2 linked regions of the Oreochromis niloticus genome follow. The protein of the gene in region 1 interacts with the protein of each later gene in a pairwise test. Links are inferred from orthologs where the notes say so. Each region holds a gene or a part of one and is shown in the gene's direction. Other genes may lie near its edges.

Region 1 (7,388 bases):
GACAGCATCATCATACTGTGTGCAGCAGATCCAGCAGTGGAGACGTTTTTATTCCACCATGCTTCTGAAAAGAAACACCTGCCTGTTGGCTTTTCTCTTGTGTTCCTTGACTGCTTGACCTCTTGTTGATCTGAAACTAAACTTTTCCCTCCAAGAGTGGAGTGAAACTGGGCACATATTTCTATTTCTATTGAGTCTAAAACTATTATCAGTATTTAAAGCAAATACCCAGTTGTTATATTCGAGGTATTATTTATTAAGAGACTCCATGTTGACCTTTTTGAATGTCATACTCTTTAACAGGTTGGGAAAGGTGTCTGCCAGTTTTCCCATCCTGGAATGGGCATCCATACTCTGCGGGAGCTGAGCCTACTGAAGGGGGAAAACATGGCCACTGTCCTTGACACCATCCGAAACAACACCACGCAGCTGTATGGTATATGACCTTCAGAGAAAACACTGCAAACTGGCAAGAAAGAAGAGAGACGTTTCCTGTTTTTGTTTTATATTTGTCAGTTCTCCATATATGGATGTTGACATGTGGAGAAGAAATCTCATTTTAAACAACCTGAAAGAGAAAAAGGAGACGAGCCTGACTGGAATTAAAATATCTCTTGTCTAACAGAGATCCAAGTGTATAATTGTTTATCTGAATATTTTTTATGCCATTGTTATTACAGATTAATTTGTAAGCAGTTTTTGTGTTGTTTTTTTTCTGTGTTTCTGTAGTTTTACATTGCTCGCTTGTTTGGTTTGTCTGGACGTTTGGCTGCCTTGGTGTGATGCAGTAGAGATGCATTAAAAGTCTTTATAATAGTGCTTCTTTTTTCTCTGAGACATGTTTTGTTAAATTAGCGCACAGGAAAGCATCGTCTTTTACAGTGGAGCAAATGTGTACACTGAACAAAGCCGATTCTGCATTGAGGAAAGGAGAGGGGCTGCGGGAGCGGTCCATTACTCCACTTTAATGACGCCCTGCTCGTCACACACATTTGTCTGAGTGCTCTTTTCTTTTTTTTTTCTGTTTTTAAATCTTGAAAACCATTATCTGCGTAAAGGTTAGTGTGTGAAATAAAGAAACAATATCGAGAGTGAACAGATATGTGTTCATCCTGCCAGTTTTTTTTAAGCACAGTTCTTATTATAGAGGCTTTAAAAAGGTCAGAGCAAACTCTGTCACTGAGGTTTGGACAAGATGTTCTTCAACATCCTCCTTCCTTTTTGTGTTTTTAAGACATTTAGACTTTTGATTGTAGCTTTAAAGGTACCAGTTAAATCTTTACTCAAGTGTTTGCATCCTAAGCATCTGTATCTATTTAATATTTTTAGCTCATTAATTGTTAGTTTTTGCAGTGCAGCTAATTACCACCAAGAAAACTTATTGTTATTCACCCATCAGGTAACCTGTGAGTCATGAACCGGATGAGCTGTTGCATCACAGACCTTCTGATTTAAAGACTCATTAAATATAATACAGTGAGACAAAAGGTTGATTGATGCTTTATTGTATAAGGCATACTCGAATCCTAAAGAGACAGACTAACATTAGATCGTATTTCTCTGCTGACACAGGAATTTTAATAATGAATGCAAAATGTCAGAGTGTGAGTTAAACGTTTGGGTGTTTGGGAGACATTTTTCCTGCAGCTGCACCCTGTGAAATTCATAATGACAGCTGAACCAACCCCTTGATGATGAACATAATCTGAAGAGGCTGAAATCTCCAGGAAATGCTATTTGGCTGATTGATGTGTTCCATTTTACACACAGGGTCACATAGTAAGCATTTTAATGTTTTAGGCATCATTCATTTATCTTGTATTTCATGTTATTTAACCACAGTCTAATAACTTAGATAACTAAAGCTAATAATGGAAAACACTGACACAGTCTCTGATCTTCAACGAGGAGATGGTCTCTCTGGGGAAAAAGAATATATATATATATATATATGTATATATATGTTTTGTAATATTTAAAGGAAACACTTTTTTAAATGTATAAACCAGAAAGAAGGGACAACCTGCTGTTTCTGTGTTTCCCAGCAGGCGTTGCACGATCTCCTGCAGCTCTACAATGTAGTCCGCCAAGTCTTCTGCTCTTAAAGTGACGCCAATTTCAAAGGGCGCACTTAGCTGGTCAGAAGAGAAAAAAACACAAAGCTGCAGGATTGACTGCTGGGAGATGGGCTGTATCTGTTTTGTATTTTTCCCAACTCACTGTGATGGTTTTGTCCTCATTGGCTTGATTTGGCTCCTCCATGGCTTGGCGACCAATTCTGGAGGACTTCACTTTGTTCTGTGATTTAAAAATGACATCTCATCATTGTTATGAAATAATTTCCACTTAAGAGGTTTAATTAACATAAGAAAACCTCCCTAATTCAAATGGCATGGGTGAGGTACAATGTAGAATAATGTCACTGTTTGGTTGGTGAGTTCACAGTCCAAATAGCTGGTAGGGTTTTAATTTTTAGTCCATTTTAAAGCTTTGGTGGTTATGATGGGTGATAATAAGTTTAAACTCAAAGGCTGAAAACAAAAAAAATGAAGCATGAAATATTTATAGTGTATTACAAGTGTCAAAAAGAAACCAAAACTGAGTGAAGTTTTCATAAAGATTTTATAAAAATGTTGTTTTAAAAAAAATATTTGATAAATCAGGACAGAAAGTATCTCACCTGAGGTTTCTGTGATGGGCTGAGGAAGCTGGAGCCCGCACTGGTTGACTTGCACCACAAGGTCAAGGAACACAAGAGAAAAGCCAACAGGCAGGTGTTTCTTTTCAGAAGCATGGTTGAAGAAAAACGTCTCCACTGCTGGATCTGCTGCACACAGTATGATGATGCTGTCTATTCAAAACCAGCTCTGATGCTTTTCATCTGATTCTGATATGGATCTAACTTTCTTTGTTTTCCGTCCGTCTTCATACCATTATATACCTTTCATCCTCCTTCATACTGGTTTAAAAAAAACACTGAACACAACAGTAACAGGATGTTGTTTGATCATATCTTGGTAACATAAGACTCCTCAAATGTTTAATCTGATAGCAAAGTAGGCATTTCTGTGTTGTGATCTGATACGAGGTCTGATGGACATCTTATCAGTGGGCTATGGACAGAATAGTATTGCAGTCACAGACTTCTACAGCAGCACTCTCTCAGGCAAGAGCTGTAGTAAAGCTAGCAATAATCTAATGTTTGATTAGACAGGGCACTAAATTTATATCAGCATAGTGTTATCATTACATCAGTGCTCAGCTGAAATGAATGCTTCTTTAATATCTCTGAAATAAACAAATAAACCAAAGTAACTGGAGCGGATATTGACACAGCCATGTGGCATTCCATTTACAAGGATTTTCATTGACATTCACATGTTTGTGTTGTGTAATTGTGCCTTCAGTGTAACTGTGATGGTTCAAAAACGGTTTTTAGTTTTTAAATCAACAGCCTACTGAGTGACGCAATACATGAAGCCTCAAGCATCATGCATAAGACACAGTATGAAGGACAATTTATATGAAATGGAAAAACTCGCATAAGTCAGACAGCTGAATGAGCTACTACACTCCAAGAAGTGTAATTACATTTCTTTGATTTAGGAAAGTAATCTGTATTTAATATTTTTCCTATTTAGGCATCACGCCTACCATATGGTTACTCAATACTTTGTTAGGTACGCGTGTCCAATTACTCAGAACAATTATCTTATCAGCTTCTATACAGCAGAAGAAATGAGGCTGTGACATTACGATGGTCAGGAAATAAACAAACCGTATGAATGGATGTGTCCATCCTGTCTCATAAAAGCAGATCAGTCTGTAGGGGATATTTTTGGTGTACGCTTTTCCCCCTCAATACCAAGTGATCATTCTTTAATTTCCACAGCTTACCTGAGTATTGTTGCTGACCATGTCCATGCCTTTAGGAACGCACTGTACCAATCTTTTGATGAAAACTCTCAATATCACTGCGAAAGAACACTTTTGTAATGTGTTCAGTGTTTAATTTTCAGGAAATGGTAAGTTTATCCAAAAAAGCTTCTACCCCACAAAGGTGCAGACACTTTTGTCCTCATATAGATATTGAAATTGTTCTAAACCTTGTGCCAATAGCCATGTTACAATTAAAGCAGTTTTCATAACTATCTCGCACACAAATGCACATGATCACCAATAGAGCAAAAAAAAAGAAAAAGAAAAAGAAAACTAGACTCCCACTGCACGACTTTTTTTCTTCCTCATAAAATCTGTTTTCCTTTATCTAGACTAGACAATAGTCAGCTCAATTTATAGTTACTTTTCAACAAAAAAGGTGAAAGTAAGACTGAACGTTTGAAGCGGAAATGCGTGCAGTGTCGGAGAGACGCCACTAGTTGGCTGTAAAGCGACAGTTTGGTAGCAACAGAAACACCAACGAAGAAGTCGGACTGCTAACAGCAACAAACTGGAGATTAAGGTGGAGGGAAAAAATGGATAAAAAAAAGAAACCTTTAGACGTGACTGCTTCATCGGTGAGTTGAATGTTACAAGCAGCTCTTCAAATATTTATTTGACAGCAGCTGCAGATGTTTGAGCTTAATTATACGGATAAACATAGCTAACTTACTGTCAGGGTTGCTAGCAGCACATACAACGAGCATGGACTGTATTTAGAAGAAATATATAATGTTTGTAAGAGGTTTTTTCTTTAGAGAATGAACAGCTAAATCTTAAATTTCGGTTTTGTTTCGTGCAGCTAGTGGACCTTAAAGCGGAGCTGTACAGGAAACAGGAGCAGTTCAAACGGGAGAAACTTGGACAAGAAACTTCTGGAGCAGGAGTCAAAGAAAAATCAAAAGATAAGGTACAGCACGAGTGATTTCAGAACTTTTTTTTTATCCTGGTGTGCAATGACAGACTCACGTTTCTAATTTTCTTCTCCACATGTTCCTCTGCAGAAGCCAAACATCTGGAGCAAACAGAATGCTGGTGTTTCAGCAAGAGCTGCTAAAGATGCAGAGCAGCTGGAGGAGGAGCGGAGCACCATCGATACAGCAAGGTCAGTTCAGTACTGTTGAAGTTCTTCTGTATAACAGGAGGGAGACCAAAACGTCTCACGTCTTTTTTTTACTCTCACAACAGGCGTAAGTTGGAGGAGAAGGCGAGACTCTACGAACAGATGACTAAAGGAGACTTTCCAGGTTGGTGAACGGTTTGTGCCTTATGTCTGCTACAACAGCGTCAAAGTGTGCTTACTTTGTATTTACCTTGTTGTGTAACTCATCAGATGAAGAGACAGAAGGGCTGTTCCTTGTTGACTTCACCCAGAAGATTATTGACAAAAAGAGAGAAACACTTGCCCAGAAGGAGAAAGAGGATGAGGAACGACTCAGCTCGTCACCCGTCCCTCCTCCTGAGAATCCGGATGAAGAATGGTAACTTCACATTGATTGCATTCATCAATATTCAACTTCTGCTGGCACCATATAAATATATCAATATTAGGCTTATATGTTTTCCAGTATTTGCTAATACATTATATTGCCAAAAATATTCACTGGTCTGTCTTGAGTGACATTCCTTTCTTAATCCATAGGGTTTAAGATAATACTGGCCCATGCTTAGCGTCATTTCTTTTAGCTTTCCACAGGTTTAGGAGTGAGTTTATGGGAATTTTTGACCATTCTTTCAGAAGCACATTTGTGAGGTCAGACAGTAATGTTTAATGAGAAGGCTTGGCTCATAGTCAGGGCTCTGTGCAGGGCAGTCAAATTCTTCCACTCCAAACTTGCTCATCCAAGTCTTTATGGACCTTGCTTTGTGCAGTGGTGCTCAGTCATGTTGGAATAGGAAGGGCCGATCCCCAAACTGTTTCCACAATGTCGAAAGAATGAAGTTGTCAAAAATGTCTCGTATGCAGAAGCATTAAGAGTTCCTTTCACTGGAACTAAGAAGCCGAAACCACTGCTCTAGAATCCAGTGGCAGCGTGCTTCACACCACTGCATCAGACGCTTGCTACACACTGTTCTTGAGCTAATCTGAATGCCACATGAAGTTTGGAGGTCTGTAGTGATTGACTCTGCAGAAAGTTGGCGACCTCTGCACAATGTACGCCTCAACATCCACTGACCCTGCTCTGTGAATTTACATGGTCTACCCTTTCATGGCCAAGTTGCTGCTGTTCCCAATCACTTCCACTGTGTAACAGCTGAGTGTTGAATATTTAGTAGCGAGTAAATTTCACAATTGAACCTGTTGCACAGGTGGTAAGGAGCTCCTGAGAGTGACAAGCGTTTGCTTGCAGAGGTGCTTGATTTTATACACCTGTGGCCATATAAGTGATTGGAACACCTGAATTCAATGATTTAGATGAGAGTGGCTTCTGCTGCATTGTTTACCATTCCCACAGCCCCATCTGCAGCACATGCGTCACAAGTGTTTGTAAACTACTTTCAAAAATACAATCCTGGAAAGTTAACAAACAGTGATCCCATGGTTTTCTAGATGTCTAGAAAGCTTGGAAAAAAAGCAACCAGACCACGTCCAAAGGGGAAAACCACCATTAGGGGTTAGATACCTGGGGCTTGCCATCTTTTGTTTTTAGAACAGAAGAAGCCTCTTGTATAAGAGCTGAGACGTCTTCACAAACTTAGTTCAGTTGCATTTTTTAAAAAAAAGTTTTCTAGTCTACCATGAACTGGATGATTGAGAAGCCACAAAGGTTGTATCAGCCACTATGCTCTGCGAGCAAAAATTGCCCTGCAAATATAGAAGGAGTGATCAGACTCTATCACTGCTTTTTGACATTACAGATAAACACATGGGCATGTGTTATTTGTCACAATATTTAAAAAACAAAAACAAAAAACAACTATTTTTCTTCTCTGCAGGGTGGACTTTGTGGATGCTTTGGGACGATCTCGGCGGTGCATGAAGAAAGACCTGCCAGGCTTTAAGAAAATGGACCAAGACCTTCAAGGGAAAGGGTAATTATTTATTTATTGTAATTTTTTTTTTAAAGATTTGTGTGATCTTTTTTTTTTCTTCAAAGATGTTAATGAAATATTTGAAACTAACTGTTTTGGATATGCCTGGTCCCTGTAGAAAAGCTTCATCAGACAAGACATTACTCTCAGAAGACATGCGACGAGAGCTGCAGAGGCAGGAGTGGGAGAGGGAGGAAGAGGAGGCAATGAAAAGGCCTGTTGGACCGATTCACTATGAGGATATCAGACAACAGGGTTAGTGTCACAGCAAAGAGCTTTGAGCCCTTACGTGGTCTTTAACTCAGTCAGCTACAAGGCGATTTGTTTGTGGGTACAGATTAGGATTGAGCCTGTGTCATCTTTCCTCATAGTTGGCTATAGAGTTAATGATGAGTTTGAGTGTTTGAATATAGATC
Region 2 (7,245 bases), on another chromosome or scaffold:
TTGCCAAAGGAAAGGAGGTTGCCTAATAATTATGCACACCTGATATAGGGTGTTGATGTCATTAGACCACACCCCTTCTCATTACAGAGATGCACATCACCTAATATGCTTAATTGGTAGTAGGCTTTCGAGCCTATACAGCTTGGAGTAAGACAACATGCATGAAGAGGATGATGTGGACAAAATACTCATTTGCCTAATAATTCTGCACTCCCTGTAAACACCAAGCTCCTTTTTTTGTGTAGCTGACAGCTGGTAACTGTGCAGGGGCGGATCTAGCAAAGCTTTTGCCAGGGGGCCAGGTAGGGCATTAACAGAGAAAGGTGGACATAAAGATATACTTTTCTTTCTTACTCTCATATAAAATATTTAGCTTTTATTAAATACTTATCTGAATCTTACAACCAAAGTTTGTATAATAATACACAAGATTGGCTGTAGACCATTGTTCATCATTCAGAACACTGTGTAAAAATAACAAAAAACAAAAAGTGAATGCGAAAGTGCATAAATATTTATTTTATGTGTTTGATGTGTGTGTCGGGGCGTGGTCTGCAGTGCCGCTGCAGGGGAGGTGGACCCACGGGTGTAAAGTCTGTGCTCTCTTGGCTGTTCTTTGGGTGTGTGTTGGGCTATGAGTTGAAAAGCTACAGCTGCCTGTGTGGGTACACCAACCATGTGTGAAAAGTGGTCCATAACGTAATGCTTCAAAGCATGTTCATGCAAACATTGTCGGGTCTGCCGTGGTACAATGAGACTTCTGCTCATGAACCTGTGTGCACAGCGTCTGCAAATCGGCGCTGTATGAAGTAACTTCATCTTTACACAAAACTGTAAGCTGTCATCTGTGAAGCGTGAGCGGTGTTTGTTTTTACCATAGTTCATGGTGGAGAATGGCTGCTCTTCTGAGTTTTGCTCTCTGTAGCCGTATGAATGGCAAACTACAGTGATTAGCAGCGGCATAGGCACACATAAAATTTCTTCTGAAATTTTCGCTTTCTAGTTTATATTATATTCTCTGTATAGCACTTTAGAGCACACTTTTCACTTTATTAAAAGCACCTTATCAAGCACTTTATTTAGTATTGCACTTTAGGCATGGATTTGCACAGTAAAACATTTGCACACAAGAAGTTTAAATATTTATTGATTATTTATTGGGCATTTTAAAATCAGTTGGTAGCCTTGTTTCAGATCCTGCACAGCTGCTCCTCATCAAGGAATGTGGTGGTTGTCTGTCAGGAGAGAAGAATGGTGATTGAGATTATGATTAAGGTTTACCAGTAAGGAAAACTAATGCAAATGTGTGTGTGAAATCTAGGAAGGAAAGTGGCGCAAATAAGTGTTTGTAAGACAATGATTACTCACCTTTCTTGTCTGTGTCCTCTTCAGGGTGTTTGGGCAAATGTTTCCCCGGGGGTCCAGACACCATTTAATGGTTCCGGGAGAGACCATTGGTAAAGAGAGTATGGTGAATCTTTTTGTGCTTGGGTTTCTGGGTTTTTATAGTATTGGGTTTGGTGTAAAATTAAAGTGTGAAATATTTATTAATATGAAAATGTGAACTGTATTTATGTATTTATTTATTCTAATTCATATATTGTATACTGTGGTGGAAGGTTGGGATTTAAGAATTTACCTAAGAGTGGAATAATGGTTTGGTCTGTGACAGCTGAACATATTTAAGGCTGCTGGTCCTCATTAGAGGAGGATATATTGTGCTGTGAAGAAGCTCGAAGTGAATTGTTGTAAGGAGAGCTGTATGGCAAATAAATACTTTGTTCCACTGCACTTGCCTTAGTCCATCTCACTGTGTTTCCAGCCGCTAAGGGCTGCCCTATTACAGTCAGCCAAATTAAAAATTGTAAGTTACCATAAATTGTTTTTTAATTTAGAACTTTGTAGACCTTTGTTAATGTCAATGGAAAAACATTTAGTGTTGCTCACTCAGAAAAGTCCAGTTCTTAGTACTCAGTGAACACTCTGTCCTAACTTAGTCACCTTAAGTACGTTTTTGGTTTTTCGAGGCAACAATGAGATAATTCGGTGTGGAGGATGGAATCCAGCCGAGACTGCTGTGAACCCCCCCACCAAACCACACACACCCCCCACTGTGACGGTACCTTTTCCCTCCTACTTGAGTAAAGAAGTTGAATCAGTACTTTAACTTTTACTGTAGTATTTTCAGCACTAGTCCATGTACTTCTACTGCAGTAGAAGAAGTACAGAACATCTGTACTTTTGCCTCCTGTGATGCAGGCAGGTGGGAAACGTCGGCCAATTTAGCAGTTGTAGTTCTTTTAATAAAGCTGCTTCAGTGTGACCTCACAAACAAATAAACTTTATTTAAACATCCAGATTATCTCGTGTCTTTCCTGATATCGCTCCATATTGTGACAGATGCCAAACTGCTGAAGCCTCACTGATCCACATGTAGTGGTCTTGTCCCAGTCTCCTTCAGTTCTGGACAGAGGTTTTTCATACCCTGTCCAGGATTCTCAGAGTGACGCTGGCCCCCGACCCTCATCTTGCTCTGTTTGGCATCAGTGGGAATGAGGTGCCTCTAAAAGACAGGAGCTATCATTCACCCCCTCCCACTCACACACACAGTGGTTGTATGACCTCATGTCGTGTCATGCGGGGTCGTTTCCTTGATGCATTTCCAAATCTATAAGAATTTTTCAGGTGCATGAGTGTGTGCACCTCCCTCATGTCAGGTGTGGAAATACAGTGTACAGTGACCTGGGTGGGAATGAATGGGATTATTTTGCAGGGACTTTGTTATCTGGGGAAGCACTTTGTTTTTACACATTTATATGTGTGTGTGTATTTTTTTTCTTTATTTTTCTTTTTCCTTTTCTCCCTAAATTTTACGGCCTTAAGTGTACGGACTAATGAGCCCAAATGTACAAACCATCCTTCTCTTCTCCTTTTGTTTATATGTATAAAGAAAAAACTCTTAATAAAAAACATTGTTTAAAAGAAATTCATTTAAACAACAGAGTAACAAAGTTTCTAAAGGGGTGAAAATCATCGGAGTATTTGGTGATTTTATACAACAGCAGCGTCAGTCCTCAGCTCCTTCCTGTCACCTGGCCGCACAGGTGACCGCTTTCATATTAGATTACCAGATTAACTGTCAGTTTACACTTTTGTGGTTTGTTTATGTTTGATTACATCATCACCTGCAGGCTGCCCAGTGTAGCGGCTGACGTGATGACATCACACCTGTCAGTGTGTCTCAGGGTCCAGTTTAAATCCTTCAAAAACAGAAGAGCGATACAGAAACATTTACATTTGCTCAGGTTTTATGAAACATATCGTTAGTTTCATCTCTGACAGCATCTTATCAGAATTTGTACGTTTTTACCAAAACGTGTTATTTGGTTTTACTGACTTTAGTGAGAAAGACTCTCATGCTTTTCCCTCATTAATCAAATTCCACATCCATAAATGTAAGCTCTCCACTCTCAGGACAGAAACAGAACAGTTTGTTCCTCTCACAACAAGAAAGCTTTAAAAACATGAATATTTGTAATATTTTAATGTCTTAAGTTAATTATTCAGCGTCTCTGTATCTCTCACTTTCCCCGTTTAATCTGTATTTCTATCCTGTGTGTTTAATTATACATACTCTTCCACTGTGTTAGAATTTTGCACTACAGTTGTACAACATGCTCTCCGTGTGTTGTGCTTGTTGTTAAAGTCTCTGTTGAAATAAAGTTAGAGAAAAAAAGGGTCCAGTTTAATGGAATAGAATGCCTTTATTGTCACTATACAGTTGTACAATGATACAGATACAGAGCATCTCCAACTCAGTGAACATGTGTGTATGTATGTGTGTGTGTGTGTGTGTGTGTGGGGGGGGGGCACAGTTCTGCAGCACTATATTCATATGAACAGTATTAACAGAAAAAAAGGAAACAAATGTACAAATATACAATCCGGTGTAAATAAACAGTGTGTTTTGTATATATAGTTCGGGTTATTGTGCATAGGATGTTATTCCTTGTTTTCAAAAGTCTCTCTGTCCCGGGTTGATCGAACACTGAGACACTTTCTTATTCACGTATTGATCAGTTTCTCATCATTCGATCAGGTTTACGTTTTATTCTGTGTCGTATAATCGGCCTCCGAGTACGCTGATAAAGAACCCGGAAGTTTGTTATTTTTTCCTGGTGTGACGTCAAATCCTCGTCGCCCGCTGCGGACGTCATCGGCGTAGCGACACGTGCTTCTTTCTCTCGTTAGCAGTTAGCTTAGCAGCGCGGCGAAGCGCGGACTGGTGAATCCGGACATCTGCGACTTTCAGACGGATTAAAAGCTCCGAGGAACATGGCTGCCACCGGGGCTCAGGGTAGGAAGAGGATCCTGAAGGAGGAAGATATGACCAAGGTGGAGTTCGAGACCAGCGAGGAGGTGGACGTCACCCCTACCTTCGACACCATGGGTCTCCGGGAGGACCTTCTCCGCGGGATCTACGCCTACGGTAAACCGGGGTTCGGCGCGGCCTCCGGGGGAAAGCTAGCTCAGCTAGTCATCTGTAAAGCTAACGTCGGCGCAGTGTGTTGAGTAGGCGAATTAAAGAGATTTCACTGTGCTCAGTTCGACCCCGGGGGCATCGTATCCGGAGGGGTGCCGTTAGACTGACTATCCGGCTTTTAGTTCTTTCCAGAAGCTCTCCGATTAGCATCAGCCCGACCTGCTAACGTGTCTGCGCACTTTCAGTGGCGGAGAAGCAGATGTTCTGATAGACCTGACTTTAGATCGGGTTAGACCGGACTCTGTGACTGCTGACCCGGTGTGTGACCCGACTTGGTCCAGTGGCTCAGTGTAATGTAGTAACTGACTGTAACTGTATTTAATTTAGTTTATGTGCTGCTGGTTTCCTCGTTGTTGTCTTTTATAGCAGATCGCTTGGATCCCCGGCTGTGTAGGTACTAAAAACAAACCCTGGTACCAGGTATCACCGCCTAACGTAGCCTTTTTCTATTAGTGCCTTCTAAGGTTTCCATTAGATGGTAGTACCAGGTACTTTTTTCAGTACCTACACGGGAAGTTGTGTCGGAAACAAAAACTTTATTGAACATGTGTACAAACAAAGAAGCATTCATCTGTTGATCATGTTCAATTAAATTTTTTATTTTTATTTTTTATTTTTGTAGTCCAGAGTCAATTAAAATATTTAAGTAATAGAAATGATTTATGGGCTAATTCGAACAACCTTCAGAGACTTATCAAACAGCTCGAGATCAGCTCTGATTTCTCTGAGAGCTGTCAATAAAATTTTTTCCATTAAATTGTTAATAAAAATTCCAGTTTAGCACTGACTGAGTTGATTCCCCGGCCGGCAGGCATCACAAATCTCTGCCCATCACAGAAAACATCCACTTTAAATCTCAGTGTAATAAAATCATTAGTTGGGTAAAACTCATATAAAATGTTAAAACTGAGCTCTTTTTTTTTTAGGAAGGACTGGATATGAAATATATATTTTTCTGATATTTTGGTGATTTGATCCAGCTAAGTCTTTAAGGATGTATCTTTTAAACTCATTAGAAAAACTTTCAGTAAAATAATTATAATACCTTTTAGATTTTTCTGTCACTTAATTCAGTATTTTCAAAGTGCTGGTGGTGTGGTAGAGCCGGGATCTTCTCTAACTGTAGATGTTAGAGGGACTGCCATTGCTGTTATCAGCTGATTATAAACTCAGTGAAACAACAGCATCACCAGGATCTTTCATGAAGCGGTGTTTTTACTGGTGTGAAATTGTGTTTATTGTGTTTATGAACCCAGTAGAGAAGAACCTGTCTCTTTCTCTTATATTTAATATAACCACACTACGGATGGACAAGCGCCTGTTTTTATACGTCGTCATTAGCAACAGCGACGGTAAAACTATCGCGTGTCCACTTGTGTATTTTCCACATAAACCTTTCACAATAAAGCTCAAGATCCTGTTGAGACTTTTCAAAATAAACTGAATCACGTGAAAGAGGATGCGGCGTGTTTGTGGATGAGAAGCAAAAAAGAGCCATCAGTTGCTAAAAAATAAACCTTAGACTCAAGCATTAGAACAGACTTTTCCCCGCAGCACGCCGTGTAATAAATACTCACAAAGAAAACGGCGGCCGTTACAACTTATGTCTAAAAATATATAGTTTCATGCATCGGTTAAAACACTCGACTCCAGGTACACGACGCCCAGCTGGAAACACTTCACGCAAGTCGAGCTGCCCGAGATTCACAGAATTTACAGAAAATGTTAAATTTTTGTGATTTATATCGTTATCGGAACGATAATGTCTTATATCGGAATATGAGATTTTGGTCATATCGCACAGCCCTAGACTGGTTTTCTTCCTACTTATCAGACAGGACCTTTTCTGTTAGGACTGACAGGTTCACCTCTGACATTGCTGCCCTGACCTGTGGGGTCCCACAGGGTTCAGTTTTAGGTCCATTACTATTTTCTTTTTATATGCTTCCTTTAGCTGGTATCATTCAATCTTTTAGCGACCTGTCTTATCATTTTTATGCTGATGACATCCAGCTCCATATGTCCTTTAAGCCTCATCAGCTGGATAGGCTGTCCACCCTAGTCCAGTGCTTAACCCAGGTTTCTGAGTGGCTTTCAAGCAACTACCTCGTTCTAAACACTAACAAGACCGAGACCATGATCATAGCTCCTCCTGAGCTACATTCTAAAATCAGTCAGGTTCTTGCCTCCTTCTGTCCATCTGTCAAGTCAAATATTCGGAATCTTGGAGTAATATTTGACTCTTCTCTGGGCCTCGACTCTCATGTAAAATCTTTGTCTCGTTCCTGTTTCTATCATTTAAGAAACATATCTAAACTGCGACATATGGTCTCTTCAGCTGAACTGGAAAAACTCATTCATGCATTTGTGTCATCATGCTTAGATTACTGTAATTCCCTGTTTACTAGCTTGGATAAATCATCATCACCTCCAGGCGATACAAAACGCAGCAGCCAGACTATTAACTCGTTCTACCAAACGTGTTCACATCACTCCCATCTTATATTCTCTACATTGGCTCCCAATAGAGTTTAGAATTTGCTTTAAAATTCTTGTTTTAACATATAGCGCACTAAATGGCCAGGCCCCAGATTATTTATCCAAGCTTCTTATAAAATACACTGCTGCTCGTCATCTCCGCTCACAGACTCAGAGTCTCTTAGTTGTTCCCCGTACACGACTGAAGACAAAAGGGGACAGAG

What was found. The genes of interacting proteins can lie anywhere in the genome.
Region 2: the proteins of ccdc174 (region 1) and eif4a3 interact in binary tests that used the Homo sapiens proteins (3 or more experiments, as listed by UniProt). The two-hybrid records come from large-scale screens. The link is inferred for Oreochromis niloticus from reciprocal best matches to the Homo sapiens genes CCDC174 and EIF4A3.

What each region holds. Positions count from the first base shown.
Region 1 is NC_031970.2:23,072,982-23,080,369, reverse strand, and holds the start of ccdc174 (coiled-coil domain-containing protein 174), read left to right. Parts: upstream 1-4,364; 5' UTR 4,365-4,475; coding exon 4,476-4,517; intron 4,518-4,741; coding exon 4,742-4,849; intron 4,850-4,908; exon of another isoform or gene 4,909-4,943; coding exon 4,944-5,044; exon of another isoform or gene 5,045-5,070; intron 5,071-5,127; coding exon 5,128-5,186; intron 5,187-5,252; exon of another isoform or gene 5,253-5,272; coding exon 5,273-5,420; intron 5,421-6,876; coding exon 6,877-6,972; intron 6,973-7,090; coding exon 7,091-7,227; intron 7,228-7,388. Other genes in the region: putative deoxyribonuclease TATDN2, read left to right, coding at 304-444; ghrl (appetite-regulating hormone), read right to left, coding at 1,901-1,920, 2,024-2,135, 2,221-2,298, 2,681-2,827, 3,898-3,924. UniProt on the Homo sapiens protein: Probably involved in neuronal development.
Region 2 is NC_031971.2:41,937,406-41,944,650, forward strand, and holds the start of eif4a3 (eukaryotic initiation factor 4A-III), read left to right. Parts: upstream 1-4,201; 5' UTR 4,202-4,335; coding exon 4,336-4,489; intron 4,490-7,245. UniProt on the Homo sapiens protein: ATP-dependent RNA helicase. Involved in pre-mRNA splicing as component of the spliceosome. Core component of the splicing-dependent multiprotein exon junction complex (EJC) deposited at splice junctions on mRNAs.